3 linked regions of the Sus scrofa genome follow. The protein of the gene in region 1 purifies or fractionates together with the protein of each later gene. This does not show direct contact. Links are inferred from orthologs where the notes say so. Each region holds a gene or a part of one and is shown in the gene's direction. Other genes may lie near its edges. The genes, in order: CDK19, MED12L and MED12.

Region 1 (5,545 bases):
AAAACTGTTCAGCTCCTAAACTATAGCAAATCTGGAAGGGAATGATTCAGAAAATGACAAATAATTCATCTTAACTTGAATACTAGGAATAAGAAGAAACAACCACAATGGGAATTGAGTAATAGGATTTCTCAACTTCAAGACATTTTATATTATGATAGAAACAACTAACTTAGAATCTTGAGTTAACCCAGTAATCAGCTGATTCAACATAAAGACCAAAGCCATGTAGAGAGACTCCATTTCTACATAAACTTTAAAGTTTCTTTCCATTGCCAAACTTAATGGCTACCTTGCCAATAAAAATGTTCCTGGTATTGGAGGAAAAAAAATTTTTTTTCACATGTGGCAGAGATTTTTTTTTTTTTTTGGTCTTTTGTCTTTTTGTTGTTGTTGTTGTTGTTGTTATTTCTTGGGCCGCTCCCGCGGCATATGGAGGTTCCCAGGCTAGGGGTCGAATCGGAGCTGTAGCCACCGGCCTACGCCAGAGCCACAGCAACTCGGGATCCGAGCCACGTCTGCAACCTACACCACAGCTTACGGCAACGCCGGATCGTTAACCCACTGAGCAAGGGCAGGGACCGAACCCGCAACCTCATGGTTCCTAGTCGGATTCGTTAACCACTGCGCCATGACGGGAACTCCAGATTTTTTTAATTTAAAAAAAATTTATTTTTTTAATTTAGTCTTTTTAGGGCTGTACCCTTGGCATATGGAGGTTCCCACGCTAGAAGTCAAATTGGAGTTGTAACCACTAGTCTACACCACAGCCACAGCATTGCCAGATCCAGGCTGTGTTTGTGACCTGTACTTCAGCTCATGGCAACGCTGAATCCTTAACCCACTGAGCGAGACCAGGGATTGAACCTGCATCCTCATGGATACTAGTCAGATTCATTCCTGCTGAGTCACAACGGAAACTCCCACAGAGTTTTTTTTTTTTTTTAAATAAAATACCTAATGTTGGCATATTTACTTTATATGCTACTGCTGAGAATGAATGCTTCTCAAACTGTGATGTACCTACAGATCACCTAGAGACCTTGTTAAAAATACAGATTGTGGGAGTTCCCATTGTGGCACAGTGGAAACAAGTCCAACTAGGAACCACGAGGTTGTGGGTTCGATCCCTGGCCTTGCTCAGTGGGTTAAGGATCTGGCATTGCCATGACTGTGGTGTAGGTTGCAGACAAGGCTTGGATCTGGCATTGCTGTGGCTCTGGCATAGGCCAGCAGCTACAGCTCCGATTAGACCCCTAGCCTGGGAACCTCCATATGCCGTGGATGTGGCCCTGAAAAGGACAAAAGACAAAAAAAAAAAAAAAAAGAAGAAAGAAACCAACCCTGCCTTCAACTTGATGATCTCAGATCCTAGACTCCAGAATTGTGAGGAAATAAATTTCTATTAAGAAAAATGCAGATTGTGATCCAGAATCTGGGATAGGGCCTAAGAATCTGCATTCCTGGTGCAGGCTCTCAGGTTCCATGTTGCTGGTCTGAGGGCCAGGTTTGTGTGGCAAGGTTCTCAAGCACATAAAAGGCTTTTGAAATGTACATATCCTTTGACCTAATAATTCTAAGAATTTATCTGAAGAAAGCAATAAAGCAGCCACACACAGCTAAAATGAGGCACTTAAGGCTTTCACAGAGCTTAACTAACTGCCCAAGATCACACAACTGGTAAATGACTGAGTCAGTGTCTGGTAGGGGGTCTCTGATTCTCACTGCCATGTAGTTCTCTCTCCCTATCATGTTACCAGATTTACCTACAAGGACCTGCATTTTGTAACTTTTGTGAAACAAACATCATTAGTAACAGTAAAAAATATACAGCTACTACAAATAATAAGTTGAAAGACCATTTGGCAAGGAAAAACTTTTATAAAACAACAGTAAATTAAAAAAATTAGGACAATTTATATGGTATGTTTCTAATTTTATAAGAATGAAACAAAAATGCCTCCGTATTTATATCATATATATATCTATGTCTAGAAAAAAAATGCCAAAGGAAAATGATCAGACCCTTGACAGTGTTTTCTTTATTGCTGAATAGCTTGATTAAATGAGTGATTTCAATTTTTTCTTAATATTTTTCTATATTCCCTAAGGGTTTTTTAACCAAAAATATAAACTACTGTTTTTTGATCTTTTTATTTGGAAATGTTTTATATATAGGAAAGAATTATATATGCTTGAAATATGTAGCCTATTTAGAACAATAAAATGAATACCCATTTACTCACTCTATACCATATCTGATAGAGAGTATCTACCTAGGAAGGGAATTGCTGAGTCATAAGATATTCATATTTTCACCTCTAGTGGTTAATGCATACTTATTTTCCAAAGTGATTGGAACAATAGAAACGTTTACATGCAGTGTGTAGCAATTATTTCTTCACATATTTACCAACATTTGGTTACCTGTTCTTTTCTCATTGGTAAAATCAACAGCTTAAATTAACACATACCTTACAGGAAAACCATCCTGGCATTTTCCATTAAAAATGTAAATTGTGGAGTTCCTATTGTGGCTCAGCGGTAATGAACCTGACTAGTATCCATGAGGATGCGGGTTCAATCCCTGGCCTCGCTCAGTGGGTTAGGGATCTGGTGTTGCCGTGAGCTGTGGTGTAGGTCACAGATGTGGCTTGGATCCTGCGTGGCTGTGGCTGTGGTGTAGGCCTGCAGCTGCAGCTCTGATTCAAGCCCTAGTCTGGGGAACTTGCATAAGCCACACATGTGGCCCTAAAAAGCCAAAAAAAAAAAAAAAAAAAAAAAAAAAAAGAAAAGAAAGTAAATTGTGTGAGTGTTCTCAATAATGTGTGATTGTCATGCCTTTGCAGATACGCCAACAGTAGCCTCATAAAGTACATGGAGAAACACAAGGTCAAGCCTGACAGCAAAGTGTTCCTCTTGGTAGGTGCGCCTCTCCCAGACTGGGAAGTAGGATCCTTAGCACAGCCCTCACCCCACCCCCCCTTACTGTGGGATTGTCCCAGCTTTTCCTCCTCTTTACAAAGAAAAGAAAGAGGAGGATATTGGAGCAAAATTAAGTCTTTTGAGATGTCACCCTTAATTTTTAGCCTTAATTTTTGCTAATGGTTTATCAGCATAAAAATCATTAAATTCTAAAAGGGCTTCAATATTAACGATAAGTGCCAATTTCATGTAAATGTGTGTCTTCTAATGATTTCTGCCAGTTTCACATTAATGTTGCCGTGAGCTGTACAAAATGGTGTTTGATATTAATTCTGTTAGACATTAACACAAAAGTCAAAACATGGACTTGTAAACAAACTTTGCACGTACTATCAATTTCTTACGTATTATTCTAGCTTCAGAAACTCCTCACTATGGATCCAACCAAGAGAATTACCTCAGAGCAGGCTCTGCAGGATCCCTATTTTCAGGAGGACCCCTTGCCGACATTAGAGTATGTATCCTTCCTTTTCTGCGTGCTTGGCTCCGAGGTGAAGATGTTGGATGGTGGCTGAAAGCAAGAGACGCTCTTGTTACTAAAGTATTTTACTTTCTTCGTTAATACTACCTCAGAGAAAAAGTAGTCAAGAGACAGATTCTGTGTTTTGACACAGGCAAAGCTGTAGGGAGGTGTGAATGAAAGCAAGTATTTTAGGAATGACCATTAATCAGTTTTACAGATAAAAACTAAAGCTAAGACAGATGGGACTTTCACAGACGGCTCAGCCAGCACAGTGTACACCAAACCAATGTAGGGAACTGAAATTTAAAAATTCTGTGTTATCTGCTGTGCTGCCAAACCCCTCCATTTCCTCAGCCTTGTTACACCCACATGTATACATTGTGCTTGGATTTATTAGAGGTGCAGCTTTTCCTGAGGGACAAAAAAATTATTTTCATTGTTGAAGCAAATGCACATTTAGTTATTTTCAGTCCTGATGAAGTGTGAATGGAGAAAGTTCTGTGTCTTACATGTCAACTAGCTAATAATCGCAGCTAAGATTTGCCATTGAAAGTGGAACTAGTGTAAAACTTAGACGACAAATTGTCCTTTTCTTATTGCTTAAATTATGTTGAGAGGCCAATACCAGCCACAGATGAAGAGTAGGAAATAAGGGGGGAAAAGTACAATTTTAAATTAACAAGGTCAATGATAAGTGTAGATTTTAGGTCATGACATGATTTTTTTTTTTTAAATGATTTTTAGTGTGTTTGCTGGCTGCCAGATTCCATATCCCAAACGAGAATTCCTTAATGAAGATGAGCCTGAAGAGAAAGGTGACAAGGTATAAACTATACTAAGGGAAGGGTAATCTAATAATTCCTATAAAACTACCTTTTATTTAATTATGTATTTACTTTATTGTAGATGTACTTTGCCATTTGAAAGATTCTTTCACAGATAAATGAAATTCCAGATTTGCTTTATACATATTTTATTCCCTGATTTTTTTTTTTTATGGCCACACCCACGACATACGGAAGTTCCTGGGCCAGGGACTGAATCCAGGTCCTTTAACCCACTGCACCAGGCCTGGGATCGAACCTGTGCCTCCCCAGCAACCTGAGCCACTGCAGTCGGATTCTTAACTCGTTGTGCCACAGTGGGAACTCCCATTCTCTGGTTCTTAATTTTTGCCTTTTTTGTTTGTTTTGTTCGGTGTCATTACCATCACTTTACGCAGGCTGCTTTTAAAGCATCATTCAGTCCTTTGATCGTAACTGACTTCACTCCACACAGCCCTACTTTTCCAAATTGATTGAAAAGACTATTCTAGCTATTTTAATGAGTTGCTGTCTATTTCCTCTGTCCCCGTGGGCCTTCAGTGGGATATCTGTGACTGGTTTGGAGGATTACTATGCAATCTAAATGAACTTTAGAGAATGAGTCCTGTTCAGGGCTCAGCACTTTGACTTTGGAGGATGCTGTATTCCTTGGCCGCTCCATTCTCTGGTCGGTCCAGTCACTATAGTGTCCCACAGAGATCACTCCCCAGTTGCTCATCATATCATATAATGGTAGAGTTAATTTAGTTCCATACCAAGCTTACTTTTTTTTTCCTCTTTATAAGAATCAGCAACAGCAGCAGAACCAACATCAGCAGCCCACAGCCCCTCCACAGCAGGCAGCAGCCCCCCCACAGGCACCCCCACAGCAGCAGAACAGCACCCAGACCAACGGGACGGCAGGAGGGGCTGGGGCCGGGGCCGGGGGTGCCGGGGCAGGGCTGCAGCACAGTCAGGACTCCGGCCTTAATCAGGTGCCTCCAAACAAGAAACCGCGGCTAGGGCCTTCAGGCACAAACTCAGGCGGGCCTGTTATGCCGTCAGATTATCAGGTACCTCCCCAGATTTTATACTCTTTAATGTTCATACTGTTAAAAAGGAAAATTCAACTGAGTAAATTTTAAAGGTCTTATTGGCTTTATTCAGTGATTCATGTATCAGGCAGTATCTCGTCTAGCAAATAGAAAGACTCTCTGAAGAGCCGTAGAAAATGGAAGACTCTTAGAAGCAGAAGGAGGTGGGACAAGGAAGTTATTCTAACAAAGGGCTGATT
Region 2 (5,545 bases), on another chromosome or scaffold:
TCTGTGGCTCGGGTTCAATCCCTGGCCTGGGAACTTCCATATGCTGCAGATGTGGCCATTAAAAAAAATTAATTCTGTGCTTTATATAAAAATGCTCAGTTAAGAGTATCTTGGTTTTGGTTTTAAGGTGAAAATATTTTCTTTCTCCTCTTAGTGAATTATTCACAACAGTTCTTGATATGCTGGGTGTTTTAATCAATGGAACACTGGCCTCTGACCTATCAAATGCATCCCCAGGGGGATCTGAAGAAAACAAACGTGCATACATGAACTTAGTAAAGAAACTGAAAGTAAGTTTGTGATCTGAGCTTCTGTTGTATGTGGTTTGTTATCTAGTGCATATTGTCTTTTTTATCACTCTTTAAATCAGGTGCTATTTATTGCATTCAACTTAATACAATGTAATTATTTTGCTATCTGCTTAACTTCAGCTTCCCAGTACCCAAAAGTTGTAAGTATATATATAGCTGAAGATTGAAGATTTTTCTTAAAAAAAATTTCATAAAACATACACAATTTTTTAAGGAACTTGAGAAATCCATTATCAAATCTATAAGCAAAATACTAACATTAGATTTAGGATAAATTTGTTCTTAGACTGGCAACATGCAGTTGAAAAATACACATTTGCATTGATATTTCTGGATTCGATTCATTTGACTAGGCACTTTTTTGACAATTTTTGAAATAACACAGTTTTTGAAATAAACTGTAAATAAACAATTCAGAAAAGAAATCAAGATATCTGATGACCTTACTAATAAAATAACCAATGGTTACCTTGTAGTCTGACCCTGGATTGGAGAACGTGTTCCATGCTGCAGCTCCTGCCTTCTGGTTGCAAATACTACTCTGGATTTTTGTCATTTCAGCACTGTGATGTTTGTTGTGTAATAAGAGGGTCTTTATACATGTTCTATTTTCTACTTAAATAGAAGAAGTGAAACACACTCACAAACTGTCAATGAGAGCTGCGCCATAGACCATGTTTAAGGTTAAAGAACATTCCAGCTATAAAAAAAGGAAATGCTTCACAGGGGAACTTCCTTATAACTTTTACCTTCATTATAATTTCTGTTCCACTTCTCTCTCTCTTTTTCTTTTTTTTAGAAAGAACTGGGAGACAAGCGGTCAGAAAGTATTGACAAAGTTCGACAGTTGCTGCCTTTGCCAAAACAGACATGTGATGTTATCACTTGTGAACCTATGGGTTCCTTGATTGACACGAAGGGAAACAAAATTGCTGGATTTGACTCTATAGATAAAAAACAGGCAAGAGTAAATGTTTGTTTCTCATATATATATATATATATATAAATACATGAACTTAAAAAAAGACAAAATACGTTTCCTTGTCTTCCTACAGGACATATAAAACATCTTAAGTTTATTATTTCTTGATTTTTTAAAACATATCCTTGTCATTTGAATGCAGTGGTCATTGACATTATTATACAAATAGGTCAGATCTTTGAAGATCTTCATTTAAAACTTTCCCTGAGTTTAAGTGAATTTCTAAAGCCCAACACGGGAAAACTAAGTACAAGCTTAGTATAAAAGAAATACGGAAGATCACGTTTGATTTTACTGCAGAACTGGAAATAGAATACATTTAGTGAATGAGAAAATTCTTATTCTTATGTCTTGTAAGCTGTTTTGAGTAAACAATTCTTTTTAAAGTGATAGCACCTTATTTTCTTATCAAACAATATTGAATGAACACTTGATTTATATATGATATTAAACAAGTTTCTCTAAAACACAAGGAAAATGGTCTGCTATTCTTTCAGGGAACATTGAGCAACCACAGGTGTCTGAAATCACAGAGATGTAAGACAGAGCTCCTACCCTTAAGGGGAAGTAGATAGACAGTTACACTCCAGTGAGGTTTGTGTGTCCTGGTATGGAGTGCTAGGGGACAACGGGAAGAGGCCATCACACTCAGATGAGGGGTAGGTCGTCAGAGCCAGATCCTCAGGAAGACCGACACTTGAATAATTTTGGAAGTTTAAGAATTAGCCAGGAGGTAGGGCAAAGTGTGATACAGGTACAGGGAAGTGTTTTGCAAAGGCATGAGAGACTGTGTCTCGTAGGCAAATGCAGTGCTGGAGTAATTGGAGCGCCCTGAGTGCTGATAACCATATAGTTGTGGAGAGAGGATAAAGCTAGAGTCAGGGGCAAGTTGAGTTTGCAGTGTCAGTGGGCTCTCCAGTGGTGACGCATCTGGAAGCCATGCGGACATGTGGTCTTGGCACCCAGGAAAGAGGTGTAATGTCAAGAAAGATACTAAGAAACAGTCAAAATGTGGGTGAGTGGAAGAGTGTGTATGGTTAGGAAATGGGAGCGTTCATATGGAAGGCTTTGAGCAGTTATTTGCTCAAATTACTATGCCAGTGCAAGCACCAATTAATATTAAAAATAAGACACTTTTGTTTTCAGAAACAGAAAAACATTTGCTCTTCTAAACACAGTAGAGATAAGCTTGAATTGAAGGGCCTTATGTGTACCTGTTGGTACAAGTTAGTTCTATAGAATATTACTTAACTCATCAGAGACTGCCTAATTAAGGACATGAAAGGGACCTGTACTGAATCAAGTCTATACATGTTTGGATTGAAGTTAATATGAGCCCAACTAGAGGTGGACTCTAACTTGACTCCCAAGTTTTGTTTTATCTTAAAAACATAATAAATTCCAACGGTTTTTGATTTAGTACAGTAAGATCAACTTTGTAGTGTTTTTTTAGATTTTTTTTTTTTTTTTTTTTTTGCCAAAAAAATCTAACTGGAAAAAAATATCATTTACAGTAAAATTACTTGACTGTCTGGTATTACAGCCTGAACAGACTGCCTTGTGGTAGAAAGGACCAGACTGCCTTGTGGTATAACTGGACTTAAGGGTCTGGATTCTAGCTGCTGCTCTCAGGGACTCATTAGGTAGCCTTTCTGCTGTGTGCTGGGTTCTCTAAGCCCCCTGCCCCCTGCCCAAGCCAGAATGTCCTCTGAATCTGAAAAAGGTCTGAGGGTGTGGTCACAGCGCCTCATTTCACCACAGGGTCTCCAGGTCTCTACGAAACAGAAGGTGTCCCCGTGGGATTTGTTTGAGGGTCAGAAGAACCCAGCCCCTCTGTCCTGGGCCTGGTTTGGAACTGTCCGCATGGACCGGAAGGTGGTCAAGTACGAGGAGCAGCATCACCTCCTTCTGTATCACACGCACCCCATGCCCAAGCCCCGAAGTTACTACCTCGAGCCGCTGCCCCTGCCTCCCGAGGAGGAAGAAGAAGAGCCCACATCTCCCATCTCTCAGGAACCAGAGAGGAAATCAGCTGAGCTATCAGATCAGGGAAAAACCGCAACAGATGAAGAGAAGAAGACAAAAGGAAGGAAGCGCAAGACGAAATCCAGCTCCAGAGTTGATGTGAGTACGGGAAGTTAGGGGATCTTGGGTGCAGTCACTTCTTGTAGATTTACTGGTTCCTGAATTACGTCCCTAAGCAACACTCCTCATTGCAGTATAAGCCTGTTTGTCAGTTATCCTAACAAAGCTCAGCTGGAATTAACAGACCAGCAACCAACAGCTACTTGTCACAGCCAATAGGATCCTAGCTTTTGATTTTTCCTCCTACTTTTCACAACTTTAACTTTAGGCTTTGATTGTGAATAATATTTATTTAATATCTCACTGCCTCAATTTCTCAAATTTGAAACTTGAATTTTTTGACCTATGAAATCTCATCCTCTTACATGTTTTTTCTCATTTTTAAAAATTTTATTGTTGATTTACATGTTAGGATAATTTCTGCTATACTAACAAAGTGATTCAGTTATACGTATACACACGTTCATTCTTTCTGAGATTCTTTCCCCACATAGATTATCACAGAATATTGTGTAGGGTTCTCTGTAGTGTGTCACTGGCCAGTCATTCCATATACCTCCGTGTACATATGCCAATCCCAAACCCCCAGTCCATCCCTCCTACCCCTTTACGTATTTTTATTATGAGAAATGTCTAAAATATTTTTTGTATTTTGGGCAGTTGATATCAATAGTAAATTATCATAAAAAACTGTTTGCTTTCCCTAGACAAAGACCTATCTAATGTATTCAGTAGGACGTTTCTGAGATGTCATAGTTTACCATTCCCTCTTACTCTCCTCTATATTCTATCTCTTTACCACATTTTCAGACTTTATGAGAGATAAACAGTTTTTTGTTTCCTTTTTTTGGGGGGAGGCTACGCATGACAATGCTGGATCCTTAACCTGCTAGGTCACAGGGAACTCAAAAATAAATGTAATTTAAAATAGTTTTACTTCTTGTTTCCCTGTTAGCCTTCCTTACCAAGAACAATGTTTTCTTGATGACAGAAATCTAAGAGAAATTGAGAAATAACTTTCTAGAATTTATGTGTAAAATATTTTTCCAATTAAATTCACTAGAAAAATACTCGAGAGGGTCTTTGTGACATTTTTCTAAAAATTAAGAGTGGTTTTGTTGTGCAGTAAAATAAATAGTCTCAACTTGTCATTCAGTCATCATAGCTAATGATTGTTGCTCACCTATTTTTTTTTTAGCAGTAGGAGGAAATTTTAATTGGATATATTGCAGGGAACTTCCTTCATGCTTCAGGGCTAGACTAGAGAAGGTGGGACAGTAGGGGAATTGAGACATTCAGGTGTGATCCTTACAGACTTTGCGGCTACTCTAAAGAAGAGAAAGCCCTGGGCAAGAGGTGTGATGAGGAGACAGGGGAACAGGATAGAAGGGGAGTCTTTGGAGTGCTGTCTGTAAAAGCGTAACTAAGACACTGTCTAGGCCGGAGACCTGTTTGGAAGTGCTGTGGGCCTTCCTGGCTAATTTTCATCCAGGTCCTAGTTATCAGAAACCTTCTAAGATGAAGTGATCGGGAGACTCAGCAAATGAAGATGCTTTTTTGGTTGTGGGTGATGGTCACTCTTGGTGTTCTAAATGTGCTTTTAGTATTTTAAGTATGTTAAACACAGAAAAGATCCTGTTCCATCTTCCCACACTGTAGCCAAGTGCCTTTTAAGTCAAGGGAGAGTTTTAACTTGACTGAGTGTTTTGCAAAGAATATGTTGGTTCTCTTGCCCTCTGTCTTCCCGTTTGTCAAAATAAAATAGCCTTGTCTGCTGGGATAGGAGCTTTCTCAAATAATGTGACAGGAAGAATTCATATTAATTCTCTATGAGGTGCATGGTGTTAAGTAATTTTTTTTTTTTCTTCCCGATTTATGTTGAAGGAGTATCCACAGAGCGGCATATACCGAGTGCCTCCCAATTACTCACCTATTTCCTCCCAGATGATGCATCACCCGCAGTCCGCCTTGTGGGGCTATAACCTCATGGGTCAGCCCCAGCAGCCTGGCTTTTTCCTTCAGAACCAATCTCTTCCTCCAGGTATGTGATGAGAGGGCCAAGTATGGAGACTCCAAGAGGAGAAGTAGCTTGGGGTTCTCTTTGCTTTTAACCCAAAACCTCCCCATTTCAAGAGCTGGGTGCTCAGTAGGCCTTTCTATCATTCTC
Region 3 (5,545 bases), on another chromosome or scaffold:
CTATGCAGAATGTCTTTGGACATAATTCTAGTCTTTGATCATCTTACAGTTTAACAGAGTAGAGAAATAAAGAGTAGAATAAAAACAAGTGCTTAGGATCGGAGCGTTTTCATGTATAAATAGCAGAAATGCTGTGTTCCTTTATTAGATGGGGGGGCAGGAGGTAGGATAACCAAGCATACTTTGTCCCTCAACAGTTTGGGGGGCGTTGGGGGGTTTTGAGTCATTCCTATTCCTGCCTATTTCAGGTACCCTAGGAGCATCTTACCTTAGATGTGTCCCTCTCGCTTTCTGCCCATGTCTTCCATGCTCCCTTACTCATCTTTTCTCATTCCCTCCCTCCAGCGGACCCCCGAAGTGAGAGTGAGCGGGTGGAATTCTTTAACTTGGTACTGCTCTTCTGTGAACTGATTCGACACGATGTTTTCTCCCACAACATGTACACTTGCACCCTCATCTCCCGAGGGGACCTTGCCTTTGGAGCCCCTGGTCCCCGGCCTCCCTCTCCCTTTGATGACCCTGCTGATGACCCTGAGCGCAAGGAGGCTGAGGGCAGCAGCAGCAGCAAGCTGGAGGTGAGCTGGCTTTTCCTCACCCTAGATTGTTTCTTCCTGTACAGTCCCCTCTTCCTGGCTCCTGAAGTAATCTGAGGATCCTTTACCCAGTGATGAGGGTAGGATTTGCTTAGCGCTTCATAGTTTATTTACCAAGCACTCTCACATCATTTTATTATTATTATTATTATTATTTGATCCTCACAACTGCCTCGTTGAGGTATTGTTATCATTTTTTTGTCTTTTTTTTTTTTAGGGCCACACCCAAAGCATACGGAGGTTCCCAGGCTAGGGGTCAAATCAGAGCTACAGCTGCTGGCCTAGGCCACAGCCACAGCACCACGGGATCCAAGCTGCGTCTGTGACCTACACCACAGCTCATGGCAACACTGGATCCTTAACCCACCAAGCAAGGCCAGGGATCGAACCTGCATCCTTATGGATACTAGCTGGGTTTGTTACTGCTGAGCTACAACGGGAACTCCTGTTATTCTCATTTTAAAGCTGAATGAGTAAATCAACTGTAATGGAAAAAATAAAAATCATAAAATAAAAAAAGTAAAATAACGCTAAATGAAACCAAGGCCTATGGGGGCTAAGTGATCAGTCAAGGCTTGGATGTGGATCTTGTGCTCTTCCCAGTATGGTGTCCTGTCTCCAACTTCTGAGTCGACTTTTCTGGATGGTGGGGAGCAGCTCCTTGGGGCTAATGCGACTCTGCTTCTGTTCTCTGCCCTCAGGATCCAGGGCTCTCAGAGTCTATGGATATCGACCATAACTCCAGTGTGATCTTTGAGGACATGGAGAAGCCTGATTTCTCAGTAAGTTATATCCTGGTGTGGAAGAATCCAGCTCCCAGACACCTCCCACTGTGCCACTTTGGGGAGTTTCTTTATGCCCCCTCTTCCGTTTTGTCTTCCTCTAACCGTTCTGCCCTTTCGCCTTTCTCGTAGTTGTTCTCCCCTACTATGCCCTGTGAGGGGAAGGGCAGTCCGTCCCCTGAGAAACCAGATGTTGAGAAGGAGGTGAAGCCCCCACCCAAGGAGAAGCTAGAAGGGACCCTTGGGGTTCTTTATGACCAGCCACGGCATGTGCAATATGCCACGCACTTTCCCATCCCCCAGGTACCGTTCCCCACCACTTTGTGACCCTCTGTTCTGAGCCCAGGTTTCTGTCCAAGGACTGTGCCATGGGGTTGGAGCTGTTCTTGAGGGTGTGGTATGCTGGGCAGGGCTTGAGCACTGGGATGCTGAGGGGCGTGGAGCATGCTTTTTAAGAGGAGGGAGAGCAGTTCGTGCCGGAGTCTGATGGTGCCGCTGGGATGCAGGAGGAGTCATGCAGCCATGAGTGCAACCAGCGGTTGGTCGTACTGTTTGGGGTGGGAAAGCAGCGAGATGATGCCCGCCATGCCATCAAGAAAATTACCAAGGATATCCTGAAAGTTCTGAACCGCAAGGGGACAGCGGAAACTGGTGGGTTTGAGGTGCCTTAAACAGATCTCCCCCAAAGAGTGCCCTAGTCAGTCTCCCCTTCCCCAGCATAGGGAACTCCCAGTCATGTCCCGATGTCCTGTCTCTTGGAGTCTCCTGAGAGCTCTAGTCCTTTTGAAACTTCCCCCCTCATTCCCCCCCTCTGCAGACCAGCTTGCTCCTATTGTGCCTCTGAATCCTGGAGACCTGACATTCTTAGGTACCTCACAGTAAGCCCCATACTGCCCGCCCTCCCTCTCCCTTCCCTCCCTCAACCTAGCACCTCCCTGTACGTATTCCTCTAAGGTCCACATAGTCTGTGGTCCTCCAAACCTGTGCTTCACTGTCCCCTTCCCTTCAGCCCTCCCCCACCCCTTCCTTGAGCCTCCCTTCACCTCTTCCCTCTTCCTTCCTTCCCTCTCTCCCACCCTCCCGTCCTTCCCCTTTCCCTCCCCACCCATAGCCTTCTCTCCGTACCCCCCTCCCCACTCCCAGTCACCTAGTTACATCCCCTGTCCTGACTGGTCCTCTTCAACTGTCCCCTCAGGTGGGGAGGATGGGCAGAAGCGGCGACGCAACCGGCCTGAAGCCTTCCCCACTGCCGAGGATATCTTTGCTAAGTTCCAGCACCTTTCGCATTATGATCAACACCAGGTCACAGCTCAGGTGGGCCTAAGTCCAGTCCCCTCCCCATGTTCTGGCATCCTGTCCCGTCTTCCTTTCCTTCTGATCTTTTTTTCCACCCCCAAGCAGACTAAGCCTCCCGGTCGCATCCCTGTCTACTAGCATCCTTTTCCTGCTTCCCTGGTTCTTCCCACTTGGCTCCACTCCCATCTCACTCCCACTGCCCTTAGGTCTCCCGGAATGTTCTGGAGCAGATCACAAGCTTTGCCCTTGGCATGTCGTACCACTTGCCTCTGGTGCAGCATGTGCAGTTCATCTTCGACCTCATGGAATATTCACTCAGCATCAGTGGCCTCATCGACTTTGCCATTCAGGTGGGGAAGTTGGGGGGATGGGGGCGGAGGAAGGAGTTTGTGCTGTACAGGGTCAGAGGAACAAGAGCAGAGGCTCAAGCCAGTGTCCCAGGCGATTTGGAGGGACTGGAAGACTAGCATGGGGGGAGTGGCCCATGGCCCCTGAGATAAGCCAGCAGGAATAGAGACTCAAGTGCTCCCTGGGGAGGCCCGAGAGACAGATTAGAGCACTGGGCACAGATTGTCCTCCCACTGTGGAGTTCAGAGGATTGCATCCTGGGGACTGGTTAGGTTATTGCTGTGGGAGTTCCTCTTGTGGTTCAGCAGAAGTGACTCTGACCAGCATCCATGAGGACGCAGGTTCGATCCCTGGCTTCGCTCAGTGGGTTAAGGATCTGGCGTTTCCATGAGCTGTGGTGTAGATCGCAGATGCGGCTCAGATCTGGCATTGCTGTGGCTGTGGTGTAGGCCGGCAGCTGTAGCTCCGACTCGACCCCTAGCCTGGGAACCTCCATACGCCACGGGTGCAGCCCTATTAAAAAAAAAAAAAAAAAAAAAAAAAAAGGACTTCCCGTTGTGGCTCAGTGGTTAACGAATCCAACTAGGAACCATGAGGACACGGGTTCGGTCCCTGGCCTTGCTCAGTGGGTTAAGGATCCAGCGTTGCCATGAGCTGTGGCATAGGTTGCAGACGTGGCTCGGATCCCGCATTGCTGTGGCTCTGGTTAGGCCGGTGGCTACAGCTCCGATTAGACCCCTAGCCTGGAAACCTCCGTATGCCGCGGGAGTGGCCCTAGAAAAGGCAAATAGACAAAAAAAAAAAAAAAAAGATATTTTAGCTTGTGTCACTAATAAAGGACGGTGACATATGCTCCAGGGCCCTTCCATGCTGAGGCAGCTCCAGTAGTAAGGGGCTCCAGTTTTCTCACAGAAAGGGGGGTTATGTATAATACCCAAGGCCTTTTCTCATCCCTCAACCCCTACTCTCTCTGCTAGCTACTGAATGAACTGAGTGTAGTTGAGGCCGAGTTGCTCCTCAAATCCTCGGATCTGGTGGGCAGCTACACCACCAGCCTGTGCCTATGCATCGTGGCTGTCCTGCGGCACTATCACGCCTGCCTCATCCTCAACCAGGACCAGATGGCTCAGGTCTTTGAGGGGTAAGCAGGGCTTCCAAATAACCAAAACCCTCAGGGCCCTGGTGAAGGCCAGTGGAAGTGGCCTGCGAAGAACGTGTGGGGCTGGCTCTCACTATAAGGAAGTGCGTGCCATTCAGGCGGGGAGGGGAGAGTATTGCCAAGGGACAGGAATCTTGGCATCCCGGCCCCCATTGCTCCGGGTGCACTTCCTGACCTTGCCCCCTCGCAACAGGCTGTGTGGCGTCGTCAAGCATGGGATGAACCGGTCTGATGGCTCCTCCGCAGAACGCTGTATCCTTGCTTATCTCTATGATCTGTACACCTCCTGTAGCCATTTAAAGAGCAAATTTGGGGAGCTCTTCAGGTAAGAGAGGTGGAAGGTAAGGGGTAGAGAGTGGGATCTCATCCCATCTCCTTCCCGTTACTGCCCAACTCAGGAGCAGAGCACAGCCCAGGACCCTGCTGTCTCTGCAGAGTCTTTGGGGGACTGTGTCGTCTGCGTGTTCTTGCTTCCTGAGAGCAGGCCTCTTTCCTCATCAGCCTTTCCTCCAGCCTGTGTCTGTGGGGCCTACGCTCCTCCCTGCCCCGACTCCCCACCACCACCACCTCCAGAGGCCCCTGGGCCTTATTCTCACTGGGTTCCTTTCCTGCCCAGTCCGTCTGCTTTGTCCCATATCCCTTTTTCTGGCCCTAAGGCGCCTGGTCCCTCACTTTCTCCTTTTATTTTTCTTTTCTCCCCTTCCCTGACCAACCGTCTAGCTCACCAGCCCTTCCTCAACCCTGCTCTCTCCTTTCCCCCACCCCTGCAGCGATTTCTGCTCCAAAGTGAAGAACACCATCTACTGCAATGTGGAGCCGTCAGAATCTAACATGCGCTGGGCACCCGAGTTCATGATAGACACCCTGGAGAACCCTGCCGCTCACACCTTCACCTACACGGGGCTAGGCAAGAGTCTTAGTGAGAACCCTGCTAACCGCTACAGCTTTGTCTGCAATGCCCTTATGCACGTCTGTGTGGGGCACCATGATCCCGATAGGTATGGGGCGTACGGAGTGACAACTTGGGCACCACGCTCCCGCCTGATATTGGGAGGGATGAGATGTCCGGGAGGTACCGCAACCTTGGTTTTGGCTAGGGTGGAGATGCAAAGTTAATGAGTCTGAGGTTTTGCCAGAACAAGGTCTTTCCTGAGGGCATTTGTACTTTTCCCCAGGGTGAATGACATCGCAATCCTGTGTGCAGAGTTGACCGGCTATTGCAAGTCTCTGAGTGCAGAGTGGCTGGGAGTGCTTAAGGCCTTGTGCTGTTCCTCTAACAATGGCACTTGTGGTTTCAACGATCTCCTCTGCAATGTAGATGTGAGACTGGGGGTGGGGGCACACTGGGGCACCGGGCAGAGGGCTGC

Evidence for each region.
Region 2: the proteins of CDK19 (region 1) and MED12L purify together in Homo sapiens (affinity purification with mass spectrometry; 3 studies listed by BioGRID and IntAct, counting the BioPlex papers as one, with this or other methods). This does not show direct contact. The link is inferred for Sus scrofa from reciprocal best matches to the Homo sapiens genes CDK19 and MED12L.
Region 3: the proteins of CDK19 (region 1) and MED12 purify together in Homo sapiens (affinity purification with mass spectrometry; 10 studies listed by BioGRID and IntAct, counting the BioPlex papers as one, with this or other methods). This does not show direct contact. The link is inferred for Sus scrofa from reciprocal best matches to the Homo sapiens genes CDK19 and MED12.

The regions. Positions count from the first base shown.
Region 1 is NC_010443.5:76,596,960-76,602,504, reverse strand, and holds part of CDK19 (cyclin-dependent kinase 19), read left to right. Parts: intron 1-2,849; coding exon 2,850-2,922; intron 2,923-3,341; coding exon 3,342-3,439; exon of another isoform or gene 3,440-3,496; intron 3,497-4,192; coding exon 4,193-4,271; intron 4,272-5,057; coding exon 5,058-5,324; intron 5,325-5,545.
Region 2 is NC_010455.5:91,571,166-91,576,710, forward strand, and holds part of MED12L (mediator of RNA polymerase II transcription subunit 12-like protein), read left to right. Parts: intron 1-154; coding exon 155-290; intron 291-780; exon of another isoform or gene 781-1,030; intron 1,031-1,110; coding exon 1,111-1,272; intron 1,273-3,054; coding exon 3,055-3,417; intron 3,418-5,262; coding exon 5,263-5,419; intron 5,420-5,545. UniProt on the Homo sapiens protein: May be a component of the Mediator complex, a coactivator involved in the regulated transcription of nearly all RNA polymerase II-dependent genes.
Region 3 is NC_010461.5:57,156,274-57,161,818, forward strand, and holds part of MED12 (mediator of RNA polymerase II transcription subunit 12), read left to right. Parts: intron 1-345; coding exon 346-575; intron 576-1,294; coding exon 1,295-1,375; intron 1,376-1,507; coding exon 1,508-1,678; intron 1,679-1,881; coding exon 1,882-2,026; intron 2,027-2,192; coding exon 2,193-2,243; intron 2,244-2,570; coding exon 2,571-2,689; intron 2,690-2,877; coding exon 2,878-3,021; intron 3,022-3,996; coding exon 3,997-4,160; intron 4,161-4,371; coding exon 4,372-4,503; intron 4,504-4,948; coding exon 4,949-5,176; intron 5,177-5,353; coding exon 5,354-5,498; intron 5,499-5,545. UniProt on the Homo sapiens protein: Component of the Mediator complex, a coactivator involved in the regulated transcription of nearly all RNA polymerase II-dependent genes.